4 linked regions of the Mytilus edulis genome follow. The protein of the gene in region 1 binds, or shares a complex with, the protein of each later gene. Links are inferred from orthologs where the notes say so. Each region holds a gene or a part of one and is shown on either strand. Other genes may lie near its edges.

Evidence for each region.
Region 2: integrator complex subunit 9-like (region 1) and integrator complex subunit 1-like share a complex: the UniProt entries of both Homo sapiens proteins name them as parts of the integrator complex. The link is inferred for Mytilus edulis from reciprocal best matches to the Homo sapiens genes INTS9 and INTS1.
Region 3: integrator complex subunit 9-like (region 1) and integrator complex subunit 12-like share a complex: the UniProt entries of both Homo sapiens proteins name them as parts of the integrator complex. The link is inferred for Mytilus edulis from reciprocal best matches to the Homo sapiens genes INTS9 and INTS12.
Region 4: integrator complex subunit 9-like (region 1) and integrator complex subunit 2-like share a complex: the UniProt entries of both Homo sapiens proteins name them as parts of the integrator complex. The link is inferred for Mytilus edulis from reciprocal best matches to the Homo sapiens genes INTS9 and INTS2.

What each region holds. Positions count from the first base shown.
Region 1 is NC_092357.1:9,158,446-9,165,967, reverse strand, and holds the start of integrator complex subunit 9-like, read left to right. Parts: upstream 1-4,501; 5' UTR 4,502-4,595; coding exon 4,596-4,604; intron 4,605-7,335; coding exon 7,336-7,463; intron 7,464-7,522. Other genes in the region: RNA-binding region-containing protein 3-like, read right to left, coding at 2,661-2,789. UniProt on the Homo sapiens protein: Component of the integrator complex, a multiprotein complex that terminates RNA polymerase II (Pol II) transcription in the promoter-proximal region of genes.
Region 2 is NC_092352.1:85,422,433-85,430,162, reverse strand, and holds the start of integrator complex subunit 1-like, read left to right. Parts: upstream 1-4,715; 5' UTR 4,716-4,828; coding exon 4,829-4,859; intron 4,860-7,730. UniProt on the Homo sapiens protein: Component of the integrator complex, a multiprotein complex that terminates RNA polymerase II (Pol II) transcription in the promoter-proximal region of genes.
Region 3 is NC_092350.1:30,145,106-30,152,049, reverse strand, and holds the start of integrator complex subunit 12-like, read left to right. Parts: upstream 1-3,934; 5' UTR 3,935-4,099; intron 4,100-6,944. UniProt on the Homo sapiens protein: Component of the integrator complex, a multiprotein complex that terminates RNA polymerase II (Pol II) transcription in the promoter-proximal region of genes.
Region 4 is NC_092349.1:27,278,485-27,286,324, reverse strand, and holds the start of integrator complex subunit 2-like, read left to right. Parts: upstream 1-4,834; 5' UTR 4,835-4,955; coding exon 4,956-5,242; intron 5,243-6,212; coding exon 6,213-6,351; intron 6,352-7,207; coding exon 7,208-7,310; intron 7,311-7,840. Other genes in the region: mediator of RNA polymerase II transcription subunit 31-B-like, read right to left, coding at 2,127-2,322, 2,986-3,082, 3,788-3,862, 4,761-4,794. UniProt on the Homo sapiens protein: Component of the integrator complex, a multiprotein complex that terminates RNA polymerase II (Pol II) transcription in the promoter-proximal region of genes.

The sequences.
Region 1 (7,522 bases):
AAAATTAAAAAAAAGTATGTAAGGCCAGGATTTTTTAATTTGTTGGTTTACGGATCCGCCAACCCGATTTTGCCGATTTCCAGAATAAAAATAAAATTGACTTTTCATGCTTTTTTATTCCCGCCGACCCTAAGAAATGCATTATCCCTGAAAAATAATTAAAATAATTTTTTTTTATGAAATGAAATGCATTAATCACTAACAAAATTGATAACACTTGCTGTTGTGAAAAAATAAAACTTCCAGTTTACGTTTTTAAATATAGACAAATCAATTATCATAATAACTGACCTTGAAATGTCGTTTGCACAAATAATTTTGCGGAACGAAACTTGTGTTTAAAACCAATTACACAATAAGTTCGTTTTCCTTATTTGTCATCAGTCCGTAAGATGCATCATCTCATAGAAATAGACTTGTCCAAATGTTGATAGGTTGAAGGCATCAAGTTGAAGTATTGAATATTAACAAATCCTTTGGAATTTTCTTGTTTCATAGATAATAAAAAAATTATCGTCCATTTGGATAAAAAACGGGAATGCGAGACAACAGATTGACCCGATAATCTCGTTTTGCCAATGGACGAGTCTATTAGGTTTTTGACACGTGTGTTGAAACTTATTTTCGTACGACGTTTTTACATTTTTTTCTTTATCAGTTTTCGTGCTTGAAGATCATTATTCACCAAGTTTTCTGGAATTGATTAAGAGCTACACGAATCTATTTTTCTTGTTTCTGAAATGACGATTTAATTTCATCTTTGTCCGTGCACCCCCCTTTTTTTTTACTGTAACTTATTAGACAATGTCATGCGATGTTTATAACAGCTGAGCAATAATATTTCATTGAACTAAAATTTAAGAAATGATGATAAAATGGCATAACAAACATATTGTTAGAAAGGTGAAATATATATTGATTTTGCATATTTTTCTGTCTTCAAAGATGATTTTTTTTCTTTTTTTTCCTGACCGACCAACCCGACTTTTTCATGGGGAAAATCCGTAAACCAACAAATTAAAAAACCGTGGCCTAATAAATATTGTAAAAAAAAAAGTGTTTGGAATTTCCCTCTTGGGGTACCATTTTGGGGTATTTCCCTATGACCGTAGTTCAGGCGGTAGGACATTGACATTTTAAGGAATTAGAAAGAAAAATGAACTTAAATAATAACATTTAATAAACATGGTATATAAATTACCAATTTGAAGACAAAACAAGTTTAAATTCATAAAAGTTTGACCATTGTTACTACACATTGTCCTGGTTGTGACGTGACGTTGTTGATGAAATACAGTAGTTCCGGTAAGAAGGCGGGGCTTATAGGTTAGTTGAGGTCATTGACGTATAAAGCTAACGTTTATACGTATAGCTTTATCTGAATAGTGAAATAGCTGATTGCAGTATAAATTATATTATTGTTATACATTTGTATTTTGAGATATTCAAATTAAAGGGCATCAGGGGAGATAAGTATTGCATGTATTGTACTAACTTATTTTTCCTAAATAAAGTAATTATTATAATTACTTGAGTGTGAAATCATGGATCCAAAGTCTTATTGAAACTTTCAAAATCATTATAGTGTTTCATTTTTGACATCTATCATGTGTCTTTATCATGTACTGTGAAAGTATTTTTTTTTGTGGGGTACCAAATTTCGTGGTTTTCGAGGATGGCTTTATCCACAAGTTTAAGTATCCAACGAAATAAAACAACGATTGTCCAAATCAAGACATGGAAAGATACCCATGTAGGTTTGACTACTGTTATATATGATCCAGAGGATATATATTGAATAACGCCAAATCTGAAAATACTATGATAGTAGTCACAGGGCAAATGCACTAGCTATGAACTACAACTGCATGCAGGATTATATCCATTTAATCTTTAATAACCTAAACTGTACAACTTTTGATCTTTTAATTCTCATAAAAATATTTATATTGATGAAAGTCAGATTTCCGGTATTGATAAAGTGTTCATTTTATATTCTCATAGTTCTAGTACATATGGGAAATAAAAATTTCATGCTGGGCTGGATTTTGATAAAAATTATTTTACAATTCAAGATACGTTTATCATGTTTATAGCATTTGTTCATGTTACTGTTTTCTTTAGCATGTTTAGGTGACATGTTTATGGCCTAATTAACACATTTGATGGTCTTTAATTTGTTGATCACTTTATCTTGGGTTAATTAGTGTTGTCACTAAGATTTATAAGGGTCAATGTTTACTAAGCAATTTCCTTCAATCCAGACTACAAATGTAAGTCATGTAAGTGTAACCGTCTATTCTAAAAGCTTCAAATTTAATTTTTTTTTCTTTCTAGAAAACTTAAATCCATGAATTTAAAAATCCATGAACATGTCAATATTGCTGAAACCACGAAAATTGATAACCACGAATTAAAGTACTTTCACAGTATATGAAAGGTGAGTTTATTAGAATTAAAAAAATCTAGGAAAATCTTTCAACTAATAAATATTATCAATAGGAAAAGCTACATACAAATGTACAGATATATGCATTCTATATAAGTATGTGTGTTCTTATTATTGGGAAACTCAGGTTTTTGCATTATTCGCATTAATATAAACCTTGTAATAATGTAAGAATTTACAGTAAATATATTTATATATTTTAAGTAGTCACCATTGCTCCTCTAACGCCCATCACTTTGACCCTAACTGCTCCAAAATGTCTGAGGAGTTCTTCCTTGTCTCCATTGGAGAGCTGTGACGGGAGATGTCTCACCAGAAGTGTATCATCAACACTTGCCATGATCTGAAAACAACAAATACAAAACTAAATAAGTGTGGAACACACATATGTCTGAGGAGTTCTTCCTAAATTCAATTTGTCTCCATTTGAGAGCTGTTTTTAGTCAGTGTTCATGTTGCTTAGTGTTTAGTTTTCTATATTGTGTCTTGTGTAATTTAATTTGCCTATTGATCTTAATCTTTAAGCTATGGCATTGCTCCCAAAAAATAAGTCTGTACATTGAAATTGTATAATGAACATGATGAAACCAATGTGCTGAATGGCCAGCTTAATTGCACAAAAAGTTTGAAGCCATTTTTAGGAGTGAAAATTTGAGAAAGAAAGTCTGTATAAACATGATAAATGTATTTTCAATCCAAAGCCCTTAATTATTCATCGAAATTCAGTGTGCTTAACCAAATGTATCTTGAGCTGTAACTCATCATAACTCATTATTATATATAAGCATGATAAGTAGACTAATACACCAACACTCAGCTAAATATACAGATATATATCAAAGCACTAAGAAAAATAGGCTGTTAAACTGTTATTATACATGCAAAGACATACATAACATAGAAAGTTTGTAGAAAAGTGACATAGGAGTTGAGTTCTACAATCAAGAGAAAGAAACAAAGGCAACAAAGAGTTATCAAGGAATAGAAGAGATGAGGTTGGGTGACAAGACTTTCCTTTACCTTTCCCCATCTGTGAGTAAATGGAATGAAGATAAAAGTGTGCACGCTGACCAGTAAATCTCATCCTCTCTACCATCCGAATGGCAAGGTTCAGATGCAATAATAATTTGGCATGCCTTTTGCAGCCAGACACTTACCACAATAGTAAATTATACTTAACAGGGCTCAAACTACTTCAGAAATAGTAATACATGTAGTGTTCTAGTAGTGCATATTTTAATCATATGGGGACGAAGTCCCCAATTACAGTTAAAATTTTTTTTTTTTTAAATCTAAAATTTTCGGGAAAATTTCCCGAATTTTTCATTCTACTAACATACTAATGAACTCCAAATCGTTAACTTTTTTTCCAGATCTACTTCCGTTTATGGTCTTGTTGGCATGAGACTTTGAATAAAATGTATGTTTATCAACACATCAACAAATATAGGAAGGAATTCAACACCCCATCATTTTTTATAATTGTTTGATATGAAAAAAACGTTACCTGGTTGACAGCGTTTCTTTCTTTACATTGAATATGACTTCATAACTTAAGTATCGTCACAACTAAATCCCTAACAACATGAACAACAGAACCAATATCGGAAACATTATGGTATTTCCGTTTCTTTTATCAATATGTTTGAATTAAAAAAATAATAAAACAGACTTCATCCCCATATACAGGTAATTCCTGCCTCATATTAATATAAGGCCTTAAAACTTTACAAACTGCACAGGTAAGTCTGCACACAGAATAATTTTTGAGTTAAAAATTCTGCCATATTTGTCCATTTGTTATGATGAACCTTATCAGTGTTTATTTCACATGTTTCAATTATCAGATTAGGAGAATTTGTATTGAATTTACCAAAAAATTACCACCTTCTTTTATTCAACAAAGAGCATGAACCATTATTAAAACGTCGCAAACCTTTTGTTTTGTGCACCTAACAAGTATTTTGAAAATATATATCAACAAGCACAATTTCTTCTTTCACTTTGACCGGAAGTTGTTCTCTAAAGCGCTAAATTGATTCTGATCTTCATTTTATAATTCTGTTTCTCACCAAATAAAACACTTTACTGACGCGAGATTTTCCCTCGAAAGTGAAAGAACCACACATTGACTGGAAGACAAAATATGAAGCTGGCAAGTTGATTTACAGATCAAAAACAAAATATATATTTTAATTCAAATCTAAATATCAAACTACCTTTGCGGAGCATGTAAAAAAATATAAATAACAACCTCATAAAAACATATTAGATAGTGGGACGCCTGGAAAGGTATATTTTGATTTCTTTTTCTGTGACACCTTCCTCAGACATAAGAAGGTGTCACAAATAAAAAAGAAATAGCTTTTCACAACATGTTTCAAGACGTCATAATTATATGGACCACTGAGTCTAAAATGAACAAGATGAAGATATGAATGCCCCTTAATACTGTCAGATGTCGAACAGTAATTTCTGACTACCGTTTATCATCATATACACCTTATCGCTAATCCAGGCTGACCCGGCCGCTTGAACTTTTGACGCATACAACAATCACTTTTCCATTGTGGCGTCAGATATTTTGTTTTGTGACGTTAAATTTTTACGGGAACCTGTGTAATATCCAGTAATGGCGGACAAATAGCGATAAGGTGTATTGGTTAAAACTTTATTGTGATTTATCAAAATATCCTTATAGTGGTTTGTCAGAGGTATGAAAACATTATTTTACATGTAGAAAAGAATTAAGCTTGATTCGTTTAAACAAAGTTTTTGATTTTCTTATATATCAAAAAGAAAAGGTTTGTTTTATCTGCACCAACAATTTACTGTTAATGTCATTTTTTCAAGAATTGTTACCATGGTTACTGTCATTTGTCATAAACAGTCAGACGTAAACATGATATGTTAGTCTAAATCTGCTTTTGACTCATAGAGGTCTAAATTTGTAGGTTTCAAGATTCGTCTCCCTTTAATTTAAGACAAATTATGACTTCAATACAGGGATCGAAATTGACGCTGGTCCGGTGAATCAAAACCAGTAGAATTTGTGTCAGACCATTAGATTTTGTCAGCTGGTGGTACAGCTGACCAGTAGAAATTTGTCGATAAAAATCCCTGATTGCATCGCAGTTTCGGTTTGTTTGCTAACAAATTTATCTGGAAATCAGTTTTTGGAAGGACTGCCGGACAAAAAAATAAATAAATGTCATTCAAAAGGAAGATTGAAATAAAGTTTATGAAATTGACAAAAGGAAATGAAATATAAATAATCCTGGGAAGAAATTGTGAATTGTTAAATAAAAGTTAATGTCCCAGCTATTGAAATGTGGAACATTTTTAGGCAGCGCTCCAGACGACCCAGTCAGGCACCCTATGGTCTTCGTGAGGATTGTGATGATGTGGAAGACAATGTTGACATTTTTTCTGTCATTGATTCTGATTTTCATAAAGAAAAGCTTTGAGATTATCAAAGCCTTTATCAAAAACGGGATTGAGATTCTCTCTTTTTCCTGTCTAACATATGTAAAAGAAAGCATGAAAATAAAAAGTAAAAATCTATCATTTATACAGTATAGTCATGTAAGGGGTTGTCAAATGAATGTCATTTTTGCAGGACCAGTAGATTTTTTAGTCCACTGGTCTAACTGGCCAGTACACAAAAAAGCTTTAATTTGACCCCTGGTATTTCAATATGTCAATTATCATGGTTAGTGTTGAGCAAGGAATATTTGACCTGAATTAAAAAGTTGCAAATATTGACTCCTACAAGTAGATAAGTTACCAAAATTAATCATTGTTAATGGTCAATTTCAAAACCCAGGCATACATGTATCTATAAAAAGGTCAAACACCTAAATGAAATTATGACAACATTAAAAGACATTATATATTATGCTAAATATCTTTTAAAGAAAATATGCATGAGAGCCTAAAAAAACAGAGAGGTAATTAGATATAAGAAGATGTGGTATGAGTGGCAAAGAGACAACTCTCTCATCCAAGTCACAATTTGTAAAAGTAAACCATTATAAGTCATAATACGGTCTTCAACACAGAGCCTTGGCTAACACCAAACAGCAAGCTATAACATTTATAAAAGGGCCCCAAAAATGACATGTATAAAACGGTTCAAACGGGAAAACCAACGGTCTAGTCTATATAAAAAACAAGAAACGAGAACATATATTTATTCTGCATAATACTTGTTTCCCCTGAAATAAAAAAGATGTTCCAAATCAGAACACCTTCTAAAATATAAAAAGGGGTGCAGGGTATAAGTTTTTGTATTTATTATAATTTTATATTGACAAGTATTTTTTAAAAACTACTCCGACAATCATTGAATGAATAGAATAGAATAGAATAGAATATTTCTATTTCCCAAATTACAGGGCCCATAAAGGGCAAAAAATCAGATACAATTGATTTACATAATTGGTAACAACAACAATAATAGAGACATATACATATATATTTGGAATATAAGCATTGGTTAGTATCAAGCTAAAAACCACATATATATTGTGAATAAAAGAATAATAAAATTACATTATACATGTATATGTATTTATTCTCAAATTATTTACTTGACCTAGTGTCAGTGTTCATACCTGATCTCCTTAATTCAAATGAATAAAATACTGAGTGGTGATAAAAAAACACATCCCAAATTCAAAATAAATACAGAACGGTTGCAACATGTAAAAGATAAAAAAACTATTCTGAGAAACATTTCCCAGACAACTAATTTCTTTGGAACAACATGATTTCAATGTAAAAATTCAAGAAAGTGATATAGTCAAGTTTTGTCATGGAATATACATGAATTTGATAATCCATCAGCATATAACATACATATTGATATTTTCTTTTAATTACAGTCGTGTTTGTCCAGCAATCCAAGCAAGCCATGTTTTATACTCCACTTTAAAGGTGTAACACTGATGTTAGATTGTGGACTTGATGTTAAAGAAATATTAAAATTCTTACCACTTCCTGTTATACAGAGGTCAGTGTACCCAAATTCTTTCACTTTTTTCACATTTCCCAACCAATTGTGAAGATATC
Region 2 (7,730 bases), on another chromosome or scaffold:
CTACTCCAAAACAGACTTCCAGGCAAGCTTTTTAATGTCATCCAATCAATGTATAATGAAAACAAATGCAGAATTAAATTTCAAAATGGTATTAGCCATGAATTTATATCAAATTGTGGAGTAAAACAAGGGGATGTACTTTGTTTAATATTTATATAAATGGCCTTGTAAATGACCTTGATCATGCAAACACTCAACCAATTATTATAGGAGATGTCAAACTAACATCATTATTATATGCAGATGGCATTATTCTATTGTCTGAAACCCAAGAAGGGCTATACAGAATTAACTAAATTTTGTTCCCTATGGAAACTTGATGTAAACAAACAAAAATCAAAGATTATAATATTCAATTCTAATGGAAAATCTCATTGTAATTATTTTAAAGTAGAAAACGAACAACTTGAGACTGTTAAATCATATTGTTACCTTGGAATAACTATAAATTGTTCAGGAAGTTTAAGTCATTCAAAAAATATCTTATAGAAAAAGGAAGAAAGGCTTGGTTTAAAATAAAAAAAAACAGTCTCCTTAGATAATTCCTGCAGTATGCTTGAAAAATTATTTTGATACTTTAGTTGTTTCAATAACTCTTTATGGAAGTGAAGTTTGGGGTGTAAGCCAAGTGTTCAAAGATTCAGATCCATTTGAACATTTACATATGAAATTTTAGGAGTACAGTGCAAAACAACAAATGTAGCCTGTTTAGCTGAGACAAACAGAACCCCTTTGTACTTTATAATTCAGCTTTCAGCTATAAAATTTCTAAACCACATTGTGAACTCCCCTAACACTTTAGTCCATAAAATATATAATAATGTAGAGAAAACAAGTAAATGGGTTAACATTGTTAAAGACTGGTTAAATAAATTAGGTTTTGGTCATCTCACTTTTGATGCTATTAATTTAAAATATCACATAAATACTATCCAACAAAGAATCTATGACCAGGCTTATCAAATTATAAATTGCTCTATCAATAAATATGAAATTTAAATTTCTTTTGTCATACTAAAAGAATTAGAAAAAGGACCCCATATATTGATATATATGTAATCTCAAAACTGACCGATCAGTTTTCAGTAAATTTAAACTAAGTGCCCATTCTCTAGCAATTGAATGAGGGTTATACAAACATTGAAAGAAGTAAACGCATATGCTTATCCTGTAACAGACAAGAAATTGAGGATGAATACCATTTCTTCTCAATCTGTCCATGCTATACATCATTGAGGGAATCCCCCGATACCTATATACAAAATATTAATAAAAATCTTAATTTCAATTTTATTTAAATTGCAGTCTGCTATAACACTGAAACATTTGACTGCACTTTTAAATTGCAGTCTACCAGTCATTATAAAAATCACCATAAAGTATATTAATGATTGTTTTTTATTGAGAACATCTATATAGCTGTATTTCTTTTAATATGCAACCTAATTTTTGTTTGTGTTCTTTTTTTAATTGTTCATGAACATTAATAATGTGTTAACTGTTGATATTTATAGTCTTTTTCTTCTTCCCTGTAAATACCACTGTCATTCATATATAATTATAATCAATTTAACTATTGTCAATTTATACATAATGTCATGCCAAAACCACTTAATGTAAATGTGTTTGTGCTAATAAATATTGTCTATTGTCTATGAATTATGCAGGAAATTGATGTTCATCCCTCTACAGGAAGCTGCATATAGTGTGAGGCTTTCAGAATAGAGAATAAAGAACAAAACATTAAGAATAGAGAATGGAGAAAATTTGGCAAAAACATATAGGATAAAGAAAACTGAGACATGTTCATGATTTTAAAAACAATAGGATTCTAAAATATAAAGAATAAAGAACAATGACCATTTAAAATAATAAAGACTATATATATAGACAATTGGCCTAAACAATTAATAAATATGTATACAAATATGACAAATATGACAGTCTTCACGATGAACTATAAAAACTACAGGCCTGGAGCTCAATTTTTGAAATTTTTTTATTAGATTCTGTTGGCCTGTAGATATGATTTTTACAGGCCGAGAGTAATTTTACTAGCCTGGGCTGTCTCGGGTGCCACTCAGCGTGAAGACTGTTTCAAATATGGAGAGCATCATCCAGATCTGCATAAATTAAAGATCTTTTTCATCTGCACTCAAACTCAATGAACATACTTGTTCACTGGGTTAATCAATACCATCTGAAACTTTGTGAGTATGAAATCAAGGATGTGATAAAAATCCTTGATGAAATGAAATACATTCTTTTTTTAATTATATGATATCAAAGATTTGACGATATAAACTATGTTATAGAGCAGCAGTACGATGAAGAAAAAAAATCAGTTGGTCGAATTGTGTAATGGTCTATTTGAGTTCAATTGGGTAACCCATCACTCCGGACCTAACCAACAGTATATTGTATTGTATAAATTATATAGGAAGTAAATTACACATCATTAACTTCCTTGGTTTTTTAGTTGCTCAGTTTGTGCTAATGTTTTGTTTGTTATTCTTTATTTTATAAGAAAATTGTTCAATATGAAATGTATCAACATTATTGAAATCTATGATAAATAAAATATATCGTTTAGTTTTACACTTTATCAGCAAAAAAGGTTATCTTTGAAAACAGGGATATCATGTTCTACAACTCATTATTTATAATTTGTATGTTTTGCATTTGAAGGAAGACAATCTATGTACAGATTGGTAATACATGATGTTGTGAAATTTATTGATGATCACTTATATTCACTTTGCTAAAAGTCCAAATAAAACAGTTTGGGTATTCATTTTGAGGAATAAAAAAAGACTAAGGACAGAAACACTAAGCAAAAGTATTTTTTATCTTTGACTTTTACAAAACGTCATAGGCTACTGATAAAGGAGATATGTTATGACTGCAATTGATATATTTTTAAGATACATGAACATATAAAAAGAAGATGTTGTATGATTGCCAATGAGACAACTGTCCACAAGAGACCAAAATGACACAGAAATTAACAACTATAGGTCACCGTACAGCCTTCAATGGTGAGCAAAGCCCCTACAGCATAGCCAGTTATAAAAAGCCCTGAAATGACAATGTAAAACAATTCAAATGAGAAAACTAACGGCCTTATTTATGTACAAAAAATGAACCAAAAAAAATATGTATTAACACATAAACAAACCACAACCACTGAACTACAAGGTCCTGACATGTAGCTTATAATTTAACTTGAAATACATATACATGTACATGATGTATAATGTTAAAATTCATAGTTTCATTTGTTGATTGTACATGTATATTGAGAAAATTAGTATCAATAGCTTGATACAATAATTTTTTACAAATTAAATGATTTTTTTGCGGCAAAATTGTATATTTTATGCCTTTTTTATGTATATGGCTCTGATCTGGTTGTAGATTAACATCTAAGAAATAGTTAAATTCATATTTATGATTTGTGTCAACATTATTGTAACAATTATAAAAATCATTGTAATAAATTGTTTTGCTCTTCATGGGCCCTTTAATTGGAATAAAAATATCTTATCTTATATATAATTGTTCATTTATTTACAGCAGACAATAACTGACTGTCAGATCAATGAAAAATACATATTATATTCATTTTACCAAGGACTTGTACAAAAAAAATGTATATATAGTAAGACGATACAAATTCGTGATACTGTATTACGATATTTTCATTTATGCACTTTTGTTTCTTAACAGAACTACGATTTAGTCAGGGGCAAAAACTTGAGGCAAAGTAGCATAAAAAGGGATAATATACATGACACATTTTTTAGCTGGAGTATGGGGTGTGAAGTGCCAGTGGTAGTATATATACTAAGATTAGAAGAATGGAATTTAGAGTTATATATAGCCTAGGGGAAGGGAGTGGGTATATGGGGTAGGAAATTTTGGAATCAGGGGACCCACTTTAGTCCTCTAGTAGAGATTAGTAATGGGAGTACCTTCATGATGAATATAAACAATAAAAGTTCTTGCCAAATCACGTTCACAGTAATTTTTAGTGCATGACAATAAAATTACACTTTCTTTTAGGCGATCAAATATTCGACTAGCTGATTTTGACGCATCACTCTAAAAAAATAATCCAAAAATGATGTTAAAGAAAATTTTGTTGAGACATCTGACATCATGATAAGGATATTTTGACAAATCAAGGTAAAAGTTCAACCAATTTGACACTAACATGACTAACCACTGGTGGATCTAGAAATTTTCATAAGTGGGGGCCCACTCCTGTCACGCTTCAGTGATTCTCTATATAAGCAAATTTTCCCCAAAAAGGGGGGGTCACTGGTCCCCAGGCCCCCCTAAATCCGCCTCTGCTAACATGACTAACACTGGGTTACAGTAGCCGAGAATGACAGTTTGATGTCTGAAGGTAAAGGAAATTACTACCTTTCTCATAGAGTCTACTGACAATAAAATAAATATACATAATTTGTTTACTTTAGTTTATAAATATAAAAAAAAATTATGTCTGACTTTGTTCAGTGTAGCATAGCCACGCCATATGCCAAGCACTTTGATCAGCATTATGGTAAACATCTTAACAATCAATGAAGAATGCTGTTTAAACCTATATCTGTTATTTTTATACCTTTGTGTTTTTCTATTTGTAAATATTTACAAAATATATACAGAGCTATTTTCTGAGTTTGTCAGGTTTTTGTTATTGTCAATATAAACACTTCCTCGACGTTGCTCAATCGAAGTCGTTTGAACGCTTTCAGGTGGCAAATGCAAAGGAGAAACTTTTATTTGTAATTCGTTTAAGTAAGACAAATGAACAGCTGAAATGTCTGGTAAAAGACCAGCAAAAGGGAAAGGTAAAAGACCAAAACAAAAAATAGAACCATATTGCGATATCCGTCTGTGGATTAGTACTACGAAGGTTGACACCCCCCTTTTCTCTGCAAAATATTCCAAATAGATATTGCAATTTGACCATTTTGTTTTCTGATTGGTCTAAGAGAATGAGAAAATAGAGCCCTCAGTAAGGGTTCTGGAATTGGATAATTTGCTGAAGATGCAAAAAGTAGGAAATACATGTAAGATGTGTTCGTACCAACATTTGACAAATGAGCCTCTCAAATGTGTATAATAACCTTAATGCTATTTGGAAATCTGTGCCTATTGACCTAAGAATCTGTGCTGCTGGAACTATTGACGTCATAGCCCAAATAATTATGACATTTTGAAAAGCTATTATATTTTTTTTTCTTTGACGTATTACGTCTGTAAAGGTGCTAAAGCAAAACAATATAATACCAACAGCCTATCAAGACATCATAATTAGTTGGACTAGGAACATGTGTGATGTCCAGTAAAAGCTGACAATAGCGATAAGGTGCATTCATGCACTTTCTCCTATAAATATTCTACATCACAGTAAGAATTTGTTTATTAAATGACATCACTGCTCTTTAACGCTTTCGGGTTGATCTGGCCCCACGTCGATCCGGCCCCACGTTGATCCGGCCCCAACAAAATATATATTCATCAGGAATAAAAATAAAGATATATATATATTAATAGTAATTCATAAATGTTTATGATTTTTATTATAATGTAAAAGGTGTACGTAAAAAAAATAAAAAAGGCCTTTTAAAAATATTTTCTTTAGATGAGTATAAAACAACCAGTTTGATCATGTTTTTATTACAAGTTTTCAAGATAATGGGGTATAACTATATTAAAACGTATATAAAAGAATTCAGACATCAACATTAATCAGCAGTAATTAGCATTTTCTTTCAATTGACTGTGATCCCAGTGATGTCGTTAGAAGCCGGCAGCCGGCGATTTTCGCCGGTTATTGTCCTTTTCCTGCTGGCTATTTTTGCATGAGTAATAAAAATTAATAAGATAAAAAGGATAATCAGGTTAATATTAAAAAATAATTGTTCAATGCATCAGCTTCCACGATTAAACTTGCGATAAACAAGGATGTAAATGAGTGTTTATCTTTGACTAAATATAGTTCATGTAAATGCAGTCCGCTGATTGGTCGTCTATATAAAGTCGGTAAGTATTGTATGTTTGCAAGGATAAAAAGAGAGACGTTCCGATGGACATTATGACCCTGTTTGGTTTTTGCTTCAAGAGAAGGAATAATGCAGCAACCATTTGATTTTCTGGGGGGGAGCTATGGGTTTTTTTTCTGGACAAATTTTTTATTTCGCCTGCGGCCAAAAACAATCTATTTTTTTCGTGACAAGTCGAAAAAAAAAAATTTCTTTCAATTTTAGCATTACATCTAGTGGCAGCTGAGGGTGAAACAAACAAATTTTTTTTCTCAGAATCAACATTGATCAAAAACAAATTATTTTTTTCTCCAAAAACTGGAAACAAACTTTTTTTTCCAAAAAAAACCATAGCCTCCCCAGAAAAGCCTCTGATGTTACCTGAAAAAAAATACAATTACTTATAATTATATACACCAAACAAAAGAACAAACAATAAAGACCTTGTTGCTTACGTAACTTTGATTAATCAATTAATTAATTAATTTAATCAATTGGATTTGATTGAATTAAGTGATTTATGAGTGACATTACCTTAGTTCACAATCATTAGACAATTGTTGAATAAACAAACCAATTATATATAGACTAATTATTGACAAATGATTTGGTTAAACAAGACATGATGAGTTAAATTTTAAGGGTTTCATTGGACTGTAAATATTTATTTCGCTACTCTGTATGAGAAGTAAATAAATTCAAATTCATCATGACAAAGATGACATTCAAAGTCAACATGGAAAATATCTTCACATTTTAAAATATGTTGGAGCTGCTATACAAACAGACACAACAACACTCAGTTTCGTATCGATTTAAAATAGTTCTTTAGTTTAACTGGTACTCCAATACTTCACTTACCTGTTGTCATCCATCATCGACACTTTTTGCAAATTCCGTTTATACTGTTCAAATTTGTCAAAAATTCCTCCATATAGTGAGCATATTTTATTCATATTTTATAATCATGATAATAGGGCCGGATAGACGTGTGCTGGAACAACTATGGGCCGGATTGACTTTGGGCTGGATCAGTTTTGGGGCAGAATGACTGGATACCCTCTTCAACTTTGTACTTGTTTGGCTTTATAACTATTTTGATCTGAGTGTCACTGATGAGTCTTATGTCGACGAAACGCTCGTCTGGTGTATTAAATTACAATCCTGGTACCTTTGATAACTATTTTCATGTACACAGATTGATTTTGCCAATCAATAACTGTTACTCAGTCCTATAGATTTGTTTAAATTGTAAACCAACTTGAGATTTGTGTACATGTATATCCACAATCCTTAATCTTAATGTCTGATGGCACTAATTGTTTCAAATGTGCAATGGTGCAGATTCACTCCTTCGTGTGTTATGCTTAACCGATTTTTCTCTCTGTGCATTTAAAGGGTTTGTTTTTGTTAAGATTGGGATTGGGGAACAGTTGTATCAAATCTGCAGGATAATTTACCACTGTTCGTAGTTTGGGTTTCCCATCTAAGGTCTATGGTTTTCTCCAGTCACTCCGGCTTCGTCCACCATTAAAAACTGGCCCCCACGAAATAGCCTAAATGCGGTGCTTAAAAGTGGTGTTAAAACTGGCTTGAAGAGAGAATTCTTGTTCATATATGCATATATCACACTGCATTGAGTGTGAAACCAAAAAAGTATACACTAAAAATATG
Region 3 (6,944 bases), on another chromosome or scaffold:
TGCATCAGAATCAGAATAAATGTTCTGTAGGGTTTTATTCAAGTGTAATTGTTAATACGGCGAAATCAACAACCGTTTACACATAGGTTACGATACATGTGGATTTACGTGGGAGGCATATTTAAACAGCCATTTGTGTACATCTTGGAGTCTGCGCTAAGTATAGATATATCGAGAATTTTATCACGGTGTTGTTTACAAAGCGAAAGAAGCACGTCATATTAGAATAGTATCTAAAACACAGCCAAACAAGATTTTGATACGACCGCAAAAATTAAAAAAAATTTGGTCGTATATTGGTATCACGTTGGCGTCGTAGTCAGCAACGGCGTCCGAAGACTTTTGGTTTTCGCACTATAACTTTAGTATAAGTAAATAGAAATCTATGAAATTTAAACACAAGGTTTATGACCATAAAAGGAAGGTTGGGATTGATTTTGGGAGTTGAGGTCCCAACAGTTAAGGAATTAGGGGCCAAAAAGGGGCCCAAATAAGCATTTTTCTTGGTTTTCGCACTATAACTTTAGTACAAGTAAATAGAAATCAATGAAATTTAAACACAAGGTTTATGAACACAAAAGGAAGGTTGGGATTAATTATGGGAGTTGAGGTCCCAACTGTTTAGGAATAAGGGGCCCAAAGGGTCCAAAATTAAACTTTGTTTGAATTCATCAAAAATTGAATAATTGGGGTTCTTTGATATGCCGAATCTAACTGTGTATGTAGATTCTTAATTTTTTGGTCCCATTTTCAAATTGGTCTACATTAAGGTTCAAAGGGTCCAAAATTAAACTAAGTTTTATTTTAACAAAAAATGAATTCTTGGGGTTCTTTGATATGCTGAATCTAAACATGTACTTAGATTTTTGATTATTTTCTCAGTTTTCAAGTTGGTCCAAATTTGGGTCCAAAATTAAACTAAGTTTTATTTTAACAAAAAATGAATTCTTGGGGTTCTTTGATATGCTGAATCTAAACATGTACTTAGATTTTTGATTATTTTCTCAGTTTTCAAGTTGGTCCAAATTTGGGTCCAAAATTAAACTAAGTTTTATTTTAACAAAAAATGAATTCTTGGGGTTCTTTGATATGCTGAATCTAAACATGTACTTAGATTTTTGATTATTGGCCCAGTTTTCAAGTTGGTCCAAATTGGGGTCCAAAATTAAACTTTGTTTGATTTCAACAAAATTGAATTCTTGGTGTTTTTTGATATGCTGAATCTAAACATGTACTTAGATTTTTGATTATAGGCCCAGTTTTCAAGTTGGTCCAAATTGCGGTAAACTTTGTTTGATTTCAACAAAAATTGTATATATGGGGTTCTCTGATATATGCTTAATCTAACCATGTATTTAGATTTTTGATGTTTGGGCCCGGTTATCTGATTGGTCCACATTGAGGTCTAAAGGGTCCAAATTTGAACTTTATTTGATTTCAATCAAAAATTGAATTCTTCGGGTTCTTTGATATGCTGAATCTAACCATGTATTTAGATTTTGGATATTGGACCATAATAGGTAATGTCCAATTTAAAATTTAAAGTTTTAAAGTTTAAGTTCTTAGACCACATTCATCATGTGTCAGAAACCTGTGTTGTGTCAACTATTTAATCACAATCCAAATTCAGAGCTGTATCAAGCTTGAATGTTGTGTCCATACTTGCCCCAATGTTCAGGGTTCGAACTTTGCGGTCGTATAAAGCTGCGCCCTGCGGAGCATGTGGTTTTGTATAGTAAGCATCATCATTTAATACCAGCCTATTATTTTAAACTAAGACATTAAAAAGCTTCATAAAGACATCCAACCAACTTCAATTGTAGACGAGACTGTCTCATGACGTTATTCAATATTTACATCCTCAGTTTCTCGGCTTAGAATAAAAAAACGTATGCAGATTTACTACAACTTGCATGGCCGCATTTAAGAACAATTTAAGTCCAAACTGACAAATGATTAGGAATAATACAGTATTCAGGCCTCAAATATAACACACCTTTACACAGTGGCGGATCCAGGGGAGGGTTCCGGGGGTTGGACCCCCCTTTTTTTGACGATCAATGCATTTGAATGGGGATATATAGTTGGACCCCCCCCCCCTTTTTGTCCTTGGTTGGGACCCCCTGTTTACAACATATTGACGCAACAGTTAACTAGTGTATATCATTCATCTGGCAAAACATACAAAAATAGCTACAAGCCTATAAATTGCTTATCAAACGATAGTCGGACAAGCAATGTGGTATACTGTTGCACTCTTTGGGACCCATGCACATCAGAAAATACAATAAACATTCATATTGAAACAAGTGCGAAGAACAGCTACATGTTATCCCGGACACAAATCATTGAATGATTCTTGGATGCTTGACTTCCAGTGGCAAATATTTCAATACAGATCGATATTAGTTCACAATTGCTATGCTTTACAAACTCTAAATGTCTACCTCATAAATCCTTCAAAAAGGGAGATTAAAAACAAAGCTTCAAATTCTCATATAAACAATATACAATTGCTATACCAACAATCCTTTCCAAATGCTAATCCATTCTTGCATATAAGCCCTTCAAAGTGAAAATTTCATATCATAATTTGAGAATAAAACCAATTTCTGAATAAATATTGTCAAAAAATGCACAATGGCGGGATGACGCTTGAAAAATGTGCGTCGATGTATCCTCCTAAAATTGTAATACTTATATGCTTATAAAAGTCGTCATATCTATATGTCCAAAGGTCAGTTGAAATTTAAAGTCGAAATTTCGAGTACGTTTATAATCGAAATTTTGACGTCGAAATTTTTAAATATATAAAAGGCAAAATTTCAAGTTAAAGTCAAAACTTTGTGAAAGGAGTAGGTCCATTAAGACCCCCTTTTGGCCCCAAACCATAGCAGTTTTACATAATTTTTAAAATGTAAACTTTTGGCTATTTATTGGAAAGTAGAATGCTTATATTACATAAATATGGGCTGTTTTTTGACAATACAAATGATGCACATATATCGGATATTAACATCATTAAGTCATCGGATAAATAACTGAAATCTTATCAATTTTATAATTTGAGTTAGATTTTAGACGGTTTCCGTCTTCAAATGAAAGTGGCCGCATTTGTGTTCCTTTTTAATGACTTTTATTATGTTAGTTTCATTTGATGATATTACATAACATATACAAAGTTTGAGAGTGAACGTGATTTGTGACAAAACCATCTGAAAAGTGACTGACCAAATCAGTTCAAATCTTTCACATAAACTAATTGAATCGACTGAAGTAGATACTTAAGTGTTAAAAAAAGTGTCCAAATTCTTTCCGGGCATCAGATGAACCTGAAATGTGAGGCCATAATCGGCCCTTACCGGCGGATCTGACTCCTTTGACTGAAAGTTGAAATTTCGAGTATGTCGAAATGTCAAAATTTCAACTTTGTTAAAAAGTTCACCACGGATTCTTTTTGAAAAAGTTGACCCATCTCGTAGTGAGTTTAACATACGCTATCGTTGTTGAATATTTGTGTCACTTGGTTTGTTTCCTTTTCTTTTTTTGGCATTTCGTAACCGTGACCGGTCAGTAAACCAGCTGCTTAATTCTAAATGTTCTGTGAAGTGATTTGTTCATTTTCGTTTTATGTTCAAGAAGCTCTATGGCCCTATAAATGGATTTTTCTAGAATCAAAATCAAATCACGTAATTTATAAATTGTTTTCTATTTCGGTTGGATATAAAAGTGAAATATTTGTCACTGGACGTCACACTATTAACCAATGTATTTTTATCTTTCATAATATTGTGCAAATTCTATAGACATGGTACTTTGAATAAAACTTTATGATTGGTTTACAATATGTTTGATTTTGTTTGAAAAGATATTTTCATAAAATGATTAACACCACTCCGCTTGCTGTTCATCTCAATCTGAACGTAACCGTTTCGGGGTTTAGAAAAGTAACTTCCGGTTTGTGGAAATTGTAAAAAAAGTAATTTATCTGTTCATCAAATGTTACTGTTTTGCAGTAAATGTTAGTTTAACTGACGTATTTATTACTGACAGTCACTTCTGTGGGTAGATTAATAGCAGCATTAACATTATCTAATCGGTAAGTCTAGGATAGCATTATACAACAACAATGTTCAGGCTAACTGCTGAGGCTAACTGTTACTCACAGGCACTTGTTTCTGTCAATATGATTATCAATATGGGGTTTTCTATATATGTAAATCCCATATTGACAGAAACAAATGCCTGTGCTGTTACTCACATCTCAGTTATAAAATAACATGCAATAAATAGAAATTTTCTGAAGAAAACCATAAAATTGATTTTTATGCATTTCAGGAAAAAAAGAAAAAAAAGACATTATGGTATTCATGGAATTTACTCATAGAATGACTTGTTGTTACGCATACATGCATATACAGGGTTCTCGTAAAGACGCGTATACACATTCTGGATGCATGGCAATCAGTGGCGGATCCAGAAATTTTCATAAGTGGGGGCCCACTGACTGACCTAAGAGGGGGCCCGCTCCAGTCACGCTTCAGTGATTCCCTATATAAGCAACCAAATTTTTTCCCAAAAAGGGGGGGCCCGGGCCCCTTCCCCCTAAATCCGCCTCTGGCAATCGAGCAGGATGCATAATTTTTGAAACCCATGAATTCCTGGGACGCGTCCTGATTGTATCCCCTGAGTCCCAAGATGAGTGCTAGGAGAATAGTTAAACTTGATATATATAATTTCATCTACACCAATTTAATTAACATCTATAGGCGAATCCAGGGGACCCTTTTGGCAAATTTGGTTGCTTATATAGCAGCGTATTCATTAAGAACCGATTGCCGATTGAAATGGTCGTTTATAATCAAATTCCCATCGGTTGTTTTTCTGATGTCAAAAAAATATAAATCGTACTTTTAGTTTTAGATCGTCGGTCACTATCTAGGACAATCAAGAGAAATATATAACGGCATTTCTGATTGGTTAATAAAATTGAATTTCCGGTAAAATAGATCCTGGTTGTTGATTTCGCTGCAAAGTACTATAAGATTTTGTACTGAAACCAGGAAAAGGATGCATTCATAGTAATAACGAGATTTTGTAACCAGTCAATAGCATAGTCAGAGAAATGAAAATAATTTCAGATTTTTTTCAATCAACAACAAAGTGAAAAAAAGTTTTGTTCTATGACATTTGCATTCAAATAATTGAGACACCCTCCTTGGTCATGTTCATGAAAGTGCATGATCGTGGTCCTACCATGAAATGAAAAAAAGAGCAATGTCTTGTCTCGTAAAAGCAGACATCACATTATTATTTTCATTAAGTGATATTCACTTTCTTGTTTTCAAGTGATAGAGCCTCTTAACAGCAGACTCTTTATTTTTACCATAAATCATAAATCATATGTTTACCTGTCCCATGGCCTTTCTTTTGAAATGAAAGAAAAAAATGTAGAGATAGCTCGTTTGCATGTCATTGTGTAGCTTCAAATAGAGTCATAAATACTAGGACTAGGAGCATGCCACCACCTGACACAATCATGCCCTGACTAACCTGATCCAAGTAATAATAATAAAAAGTGAGGATGAGGATGAGGATGATGTCTCCCTATGATTATAAAGAAGTGTGAGTCTTGCATTATGCATTCAAGGATGTACTTTGACCAGGTTCTGGAATTTCTGTCAGATGTTTAATCTCTGGGTTTTCCCCTATGATACAGGGTAAAATATTTTGACCTATGACCATGATAATCCCATTTTTCCTTTCTTTAATAAAAGACTTCAATTATTAACTCACAAAAACTCATTTTAATACCAAAATGTAAGCAGATCTTAGATTTCTTTCTTTCCTTTTGTTTGCTTCTTAACTAATGCTCTTCTGAATTATGGTATCAATTTTATTTGATTATTGTAATTTCACCAAAGTGCATCCTTTTTGCCTTTAAACAACAGTCCATTGAATTCATCATTTGATTTATTGTGATAAGTATTTGAAATTATTAATACTGAAAAATGTTTTCTATGGGTTAGAACTATTTGAATAATTGCATGTCTACAGTTAAATTAAAAATATTTTCAACTAATAAAATCAAATTTAAATCTTTTCCTGAATGATCACCATGTCTTACAGAGTCATGCCTTCATTATTTTCCTCAAAAACCTGCAAACAACTTCAATAACTTGTTAGCTGAAAGTCTTGATGATATGTGATCAACTTTATAGAAAATATGACCATCTTGCTGCTCATTTACCTTATCATCATTAAAAAAATGGTGTTTGCGAAGAACAAAATTAGAGTTCAGGAGCCCCCCAGGGTGCAGGATTTTGCACCATTTTAAAAAAAAATTCAGACCCCTCGCCGTGAAGGGCAACGAGCAAGCTCGTCGCGCCGAACGGCTACGCCGTCCGCCGGTGTTGCCTGCTACTTTTATTATTTAACCTCCTACTTTAAATCTTATTGACAACCCTGTATAGGGAATCACTAAAGCGTGACTGGAGTGGGCCCACCTTACAAAAAGTTCTGGATCTGCCACTGATTAGAAAAGGGTGTAAAGGAGATGGGGTTAATTTGTAAAGTTATTCTATATTTTTTTGGGGTTATTTAAGTCTAGTATAAGTATCTTAATCATTACTGGACCAAATGTCCAGTTTATAACTAAAAAATCACCAATAAGAACAAAGAAAACTTCTTTTACTGAGTTTATTATTAAATAGTCAATTAACATTCCTCCTCCCCCACCCCAAAGAAAAAAAAAGAAAAACATAACCTACCTTTAGACCCAGTCTTTTATATGGCAGTCTGGCTTTGGCAAACCAACATTTTTTTAAAAATGTGGCCATACACCAAGAATTGATATATATATATATTATGAAAACTACAAATCCGACAAGCATCGTTTTAGTTTTATTTCGTCATATTTCATTTTATTTAGACACAAAAAATTA
Region 4 (7,840 bases), on another chromosome or scaffold:
ACCAAATATTTCATGATCATTTTATTAGTTTATAAAATGTAACTGTAATTTTAATTATCTTGTTTAAAAAAAAACCATAATGATTATGTGATATTGGCAAAACATTTGTAATTATGTGATTACTAGGACACCCCCATGAGGGGCCTCTTAGCACTTTACTTATTTATACAGATCCACAGGAAGTTCCTTATTTCAATTGTGAGAAAAATAGACGTGACTTTTTTAATTCTACTTGAACTTTAAAAATTGTAAACACATTTTGTTGTACATAAATACGTTACTTTTCTTGTTAGGATTGTTTTACATTGCCATTTCGGGGCCTTTTATAGCTGACTATGCAGTATGGGCTTTGCTCATTTTTGAAGGCCGTACAGTGACCTATAGTGGTTAATTTCTGTGTCATTTTCGTCTCATGTGGAGAAATGTCTCATTGGCAATCTTACCGCATCTTCTTTTATCTTTCTTCCATCCCAATTCAGTGCAAAACCAAAAAAACTTGTAATTTGTAATTCAGTTATTTTAACAATATTATCACTCAAATGTTTATATATAGATATTAGAAGATGTGTGCCAAATGAGATAACTCTTCATCCAAGTCATAATTTGTAAAAGTAAACCATTATGTATATAGTTTGCATTACTGAGTATAAAGAACAGGAACAAATCTTATATACAGATGATTAGGCTCTGGTATGTATTAAATTGGCAGAACATTTTGAAATCACTGCTCTTCAACTTCCTTTGGTCTTGGTAACTCTTTTTATTCAAGCCTCTCTGACTAGTTGTGTCATTTGGTCTCTTGTGAAGAGTTGTCTCATTGATAATCATACCACATCTTCTTTTTAAGATGATTTATGCATGAAAATTCAGAAAGCTGACGAGTCTTTTGTAGATGGAATGTGCGTCTGGCGTAAGTGTAAAATTTTAATGCTGGTATCTATGATGAGTTTATTTGTAATTTCAGAGGAAAAAGAGAAATTTCATGGGAGAGATGACAAATAAATGGACAAATGTAAACCATAATAATAAATATAATAGAGAATGGAAATGGGGAATGTGTCAAAAAAACAAGAACCCTACCCATAAGCAGAAAACAGACTAGGGCCACCAATGGGTCTTCAACACATCAAGAAAATCCAACACCTGGACGAGAGCTTCAGAAATCAGTGTATAGCCACAATACAAACTAGTAAATCTAGGCCTGAAAAAGCATGATATGCAGTATGAGTTTTGCTTATTGTTGAAGGTGGAACAGTGACCAACACAGCTAGTTTCCAACATCTTTTTTACACTTCTTGATAGGTGACTTATTGGCAGTCATACTGTTAACATATATTTGTTCTATAAAAAAGAAGATGTGGTATGATTGCCAATGAGACAACTGTCCACAAGAGACCAAAATGACACAGACATTAACAACTATAGGTCACTGTACTACCTTCAACAATGAGTAAATATTGTGCCTGCCAAATATTTGTATGGAAACTTGGTTATAAACATGATAAATAAAGCTATATCATCTGTTCACATTAGATTTAATATTTCTTCTAAAAATAAAATATTGTTTGTTTCCCCAATCCCGACTGACCCTGAAAATGTGGTGCTACATATAAAATTGTATTGTCAAATCTAAGTCCAATATTATTTTATTCATTTCTGATTTTCAGGCTTACCTGATCGTCCGATAATGTTCAAACTGTTTGGAAAATTAAAATTATTTCGCTACCTACATGTACCTACCCATATCTGGCTGCGGAGGATTGGGATTGGGGAAACAAACAATATATAAATTTAGGCCCTATTTGGGAAATGTTTGGAACAGATATCAAAAAGAAACTTCTGTTCAATGAAAATACAATATCTCTATACAACATCTCTTTATTTTATACAGTTTATAAAACTGCCTAAAAACTATGAACAGAGATGAAAAAATTTCCTGCTAAATACATCATGTACATGTTACGTCTATGACAAGTATCAACCTCGGAAAAATTTTACACATAAAAATGTTCGTTTTGGATGTTTAAGAGATGACAATAATTTTGACCATCCACATAGCTGCCATTACAATTCAGAGAATATCTCTGACCGATTAATTTTAAATCAACACATTTATTATTGCTGTGTCAGCTAGTTTTATCTTTTTGATCTTGTTTGTGTCGTTCCGCTTCATCGATCAATAACTTCATGCGTTTCCTCTGATAATGCTGCCAATGTAAGAGTTGCTGATCGTCTATAAACTTAGCACATTGTGAATTCACTAATTCTTTTCTAAAGTGTTCATATTGTAGCAGCTCCAATAAATGTAAACATTGGGGATATCTGAAAATGAAATAAAAATAATGAAAACAAATTAAATATTGCAAGAGATAATTACAAACTAGTTATACAATGGGAAAGTCTTAATCTTTAAAGCAGATATTGCTTGGTGTATCATAACTCATACAGTGTTTATTTGTCAACTTGTAACATGAACATTTAACATAACGTCATAAAGAATTTGCAACTCCTTGTGTGTACTGTACAAGGCATATCTGTCAACTTCTGGAAATGAAAATCTCATTCATATCCTGCATTGAGCAAGTAAATGTCAGGTCATAATGAGAACAATTTTTTTCTGTTGAATTTATAATTATTTTTTTTTTCGTAAAATATCTACTACTGTGGATATATTGTTTTTTTGTGGGGTACTAATTTTTGAAGATTTCGTGGGTACAGATAAACCACAAGTATAAATGTTCAAAGAATTACAGATTTTCTATAACATGTATAAGGATGTACATTGTATTGGCAAAATCACGATATCAAATAGCCACGAAAATGCAAGATTTTCTTAATCCACAAAAATTGGAACACATAAAAAAATCCACAAAAATTGGAACACATAAAAATCCACAAAAATTGGAATACACAAAAATAAATGAATCTACAGTATAACAAGATTCCTACAAAAATTCACTATTGTACATTTTTGTACAAACTTACTTGAGGTATTTAGCATATTTAGGTTCTTTCCAGTATTGCAGGTATTTAAGGTAGTTGATAAATGTCTGATCTTTGAAGAATCCTCTCTGTGCTAAAACTATAAAAAAATAAAATTGAACAGTATATTTTTACAGCTCTGTTAACTTAAAACTGTTCACACAACACATAACAAGGATAAAATATGCAATTGCAATCTTAATAAATCAATGATAAAAAAATTACATGGCTCATATTGGGAGAGAAAATAATAACTGAAAATTAAAGAATTCTTGTAACAACTCTCATGACTCTTTAAGGGGTCTTTGCCAGTTTTGGTGGCACGTACATTGCAGGACAAAAGTTCTTTTGCTATGCAAACAAACTTTTTTCAAATTGTAGCCAAGCTTGTATTACATGTATTTAAATCAGTGGCAAATCGTCAGTGTGTATTCCTTCATGTAATATAAAAAAATATATCTTCATGTTAAAAATAAACTTTTGAGATATCTAATTATTGTCATCTGGGCAGTTTTGTTGCAAATGACTGAGCATCTAACATAGAATATTAACAGTTACAAATTAATATTAACAGTAGATGTCATCCAACCTAAAAAGGTTTTACATTTGACATTCAGTGTTGCCCTTGCTCATCGATACATACCTAAGTTTGTTTCCGTTCTCTAACTTAAGAATATAGGTGTTGTCACTTTAACAGTTGTGGATGTATGTCACTTTACAATGTTATATGCAAGTATGGGGCATCATCTGTCCCAAAGACACATTCTCAATTAGAATTGGTTTTTTACTGTCATTGTATACTCACAATTAAGGTAATTCGGATTAGCCAAACATTGTACAAATTCTAACTCTGTCTGAAATCTCACTCTTTCATCTGCTTCTGAAAAAGAAATTATTTTTTATTTAAAAGATACAGCATTCTTAATGATATTCAGTGTTTTCCCCAAAAGATGATTTCCATTCTTTGTAAATTCAATCATGTCAATCCTCATGACCCCATTTATAAAAAAATTTCTTTCTGGAAACATCTTGCTCAGCTGATCTTGCTATAATTTACGTTCTATTCCATCTTGTCTCTCCTTGTAAGAAAAACTACATATAAGGGTAGTAATGGCCTTTACCATCAGGCGTCAAATGTTCAATTCCAGCTACCGTTAGCGTCAAATTGGTTAAAATTTTACAGTGAATCGTCAAAATATCCTTATGGTGAACCGTGATTCGTCAATGGTGTCAAATGATTATCCTTACCGTCATTTTTGAGAAAAATTTAACGTGATTCGTCAAAATCAGTCGATTTTTTTATCCCCTAAAAGAAAGTATACATTTTAATATCGTCATGCATCTAAAATTACCTTTTACGTTTAAATTTGGCTAGAATTTTATCGTTATTCGTCATGAAGGTATCCCCATTACCACCCTCATATATGAATACAATAACATATGATCTGACCAATTATTTGGTGTTTAGGAGAAAGGCTGGACCCATGTATGTGTATAACTGTTTGTAGTAGAATGACCAAATGGCAGATAAGGGTAGAACTATACAGCCTTAGCCACCTTATGGCAGGGTCATAAAATATATTTATTGAATGAATTAATGTATTTTTGCTGTTTGAGTTGTGAAAAGCTTTGTATCCACTTCAAACTGCTTTTCATATTGTTCTGGCATTGATAAGTATTTATGAACAACAATATGCATGACAGAACTATAAGGTTAGAGGGGAACTATTTATTTTGGGGTCTGTTGTTATCTAGAGCAACATTAGCACTTATTTTACCATGGGAGGAATTCTGTCTTGCAGCTGCAGCCATAACAAAAATATGATCTATGTCTTCTTCGCGCTTGTAAGAAACGCAATTACAACAAAGCGTCAGACTGACGTTGAGAAAGCAAAATGGCTGCCCCCATGAAAAAATTTTGACTTTTAAAATTTTTGTAAATCCTTTACATTTTTTTAGGTTTAGCAATAACAATGCAGAATCTAAAGTGTAGTGTTAAACCCGAAATCTTCAGAGCAGTACGAGATGTTGACATCTCTTCACTGAGTGATTCGAAGGAATTTGATTTGCGTCCAGTTCTTCCATGTCTTGTTAGAATGGCTTTGTGTAAACCACTTGATGAGAGCTCCAACTGGACAAAAGCTAAAAAAGAAGTCTTAAAAATCTTATCTGGGATAGAAGTTGTGAATGGCATTGTGGCATTGCTATCTATTGATTTCCATGCTTTAGAACAAGACGTTAAAAAAGAACAACAGCTCAGGTACACCCCTAAAAACAGTAGTGAGTTACTGAGTAAGGCACTGGCTACAATCACGTTGCAATAATATGAGGCAGGCATTACCCGTGAAAGAGGATAAAGTTAATCATTTTTTTTTATTTCAAACATATTTAAAAATCTGTTCAAAAAGAAACGAAAATATCTTACAGTTTCCTATGTTGGTCCTGTTGTTAGGCAGGGTTCTCGCTAAAGCGAGTCCATGAGTCCTAGACTCATCAAAATCTGTTTGGACTCACCATTCTCAAAACTAGTGAGTCCAAAGATGCATCAATATTGAAATATTTTGTATAAATTGAACACAGTAAAACACAAATATCATCATGATCATCATTTTATAGCAAAAGTTTTAAAAGTAATCTGAATTTAATGTCATTTCATTGCTCTGTTAGGCCATGGAGGATAAAATATTACATTATATTGCAATAAAATATATTCTTCTTGCTGTTGGACTCACCATGGCCAAAAATGACGAGTCCCTGGACTCGCCTTCAAAAATCCTTAGCGAGAACCCTGTTAGGGATTTTAGTTGTGCATCATTTAAGTTATGACTTCATTTTCATTGTATACAAAGAATTAATAAAAACAAAATTGTTATTCTGCTCCTTCCTCATGTTCCTCAATAACAATAAATGAATTAACATACATGTATATTTTATTCAGTCTCATGACAATATTGAGACCAGAAGAAAGAAAGACATTTCTGCACAAATGCGGGAAAATAAAAAGTTCATGATTTTGAGTTCATAGGTACATTGATGTTTTTTTATTATTGATTTTCCTGCTGCAATTGGAGTTTTTGTCCCCACAATAAACATGATAAAAGAGTTATTGTACATGTAAGTATTGATGAGCAAATTGTTTTCCAGATTAACTCTCCATACCTTCAGAAGTGATGACATATTTGTTTTTTTCCTTGATAATAATCTTAAATTTTTTACCTTATTCCTTGCAGGACAAAGATTGGTACATCACAGACTGACAGTGTCCTGATATCTCAGTTACAGTGTGGGCTTGCTATGGAGTTTGAAAGAAGTGACCATGCTCGTAGAATTCGTCTGCTATTAAGTGAACTTCTCTTTGTAGCATCACAGGTTAATTATCTTATCATTTGTAAATTGAGCATGTTAAACAATCAACATTGAATTTTCAATGTTATTCTATTGTGAATATTCAACTTCATTAAAGACATCAAAAGTTTTAATTAAGTAACAACATTATGTATGAGAATCAGAGGGAGGTATCAATTTTCATGCATTAACGAAAACTTGTGGATGTTTTTAAAAATTCATGGTATTGTCGAAGTCTGCATACAAGCATAAAGAACATTTATCATTCTTACAAAATTTAATTTCATAGTTCAACTGTACCCACGAAATCCACAAAAAATGGTATTTAATGAATAATAAAGAATATGCAGTATACCAGTATATACTGTTGAGTGAGGGTTGAAGACTGTCAATTTTTAACATTTAAGGAATGACTGTAATATTTTTTCTGTCTATGAAGAAATAACATAAAAAATGTGGTACACACTGAATAACGCGCGTAGCAGGTTATTTAACAGTGTGCACCACATTTTTTAGGTTATTTCGAATAGACAGAAAAAATATTACAGTCATTTCTTATAATTTAATTCTAAATTCCATTTTAAACTGTAGAAAACCATGAAAAAACGTTGATGACGTCACAATCACATGACTAAATTATGTCTATGGGCTGATAACAAAATAACGTCAGCCAATCAGAAGACACGTTACATCCAAAATTAAATTATGTTTTATAAAGAAATACAATGCAGTTTCTATATAAACCAGATTTGTTTAGTTTCTGCTTCAAAAATGATGATGAGAGTAGATCTACATGATCTATGTTATTGTGTTTGGCAACCAGCGTTTATAATGAAAAAAATTATACTTTTATTACAATGTCAATATTATATTGCTTCAGATGAAAGAAAACAAGGCAGAATTTTATTTCAAGTCATCAGAATTACTGGAGAGCATTGTTTACCTTGAAGAAGTATCTGATGTATTGTGTATAGCACAAGCAGGTAATATACATTAACGTTGTAAACCATACTTTGACCTTATGGCTTACTTTTATAAATTGTGACTTGGAAGGAGAGTTGTCTTATTGGCACTCATACCAATTCTTTTTATATCTATGTAATAGAGATAAGAAGATGTGGTATGAGTGCAAATGAGACAACTCTCCTTCCAAGACATAATGTTTAAAAAGTACAATTTAAGGTCTTAGTACAGCCTTAAATACAGAACCTTAGCTCACTCTGAACAGCAAATTTTAGATTTAAGGGCCCCAAAATGACCAGTGTAAAACAATTTAAACAGGAAAACCAACTATGATTTATATTAAAAAGAGAAAGGAGAAACACCTTTGAAACACAACGGCACACAACAACCACTGAACAACAGACTCCTGACTAAAAACAGGTGCTTGAAAATGCAATATGTTTAAATGTTTAAACTGGTGCCAACCTTCACCCTTGTCTGAGACAATTTTGTAACATTACAACATAAAAGGACGCTATAAAATATTCAATTGAAATGACTTTAATTGATC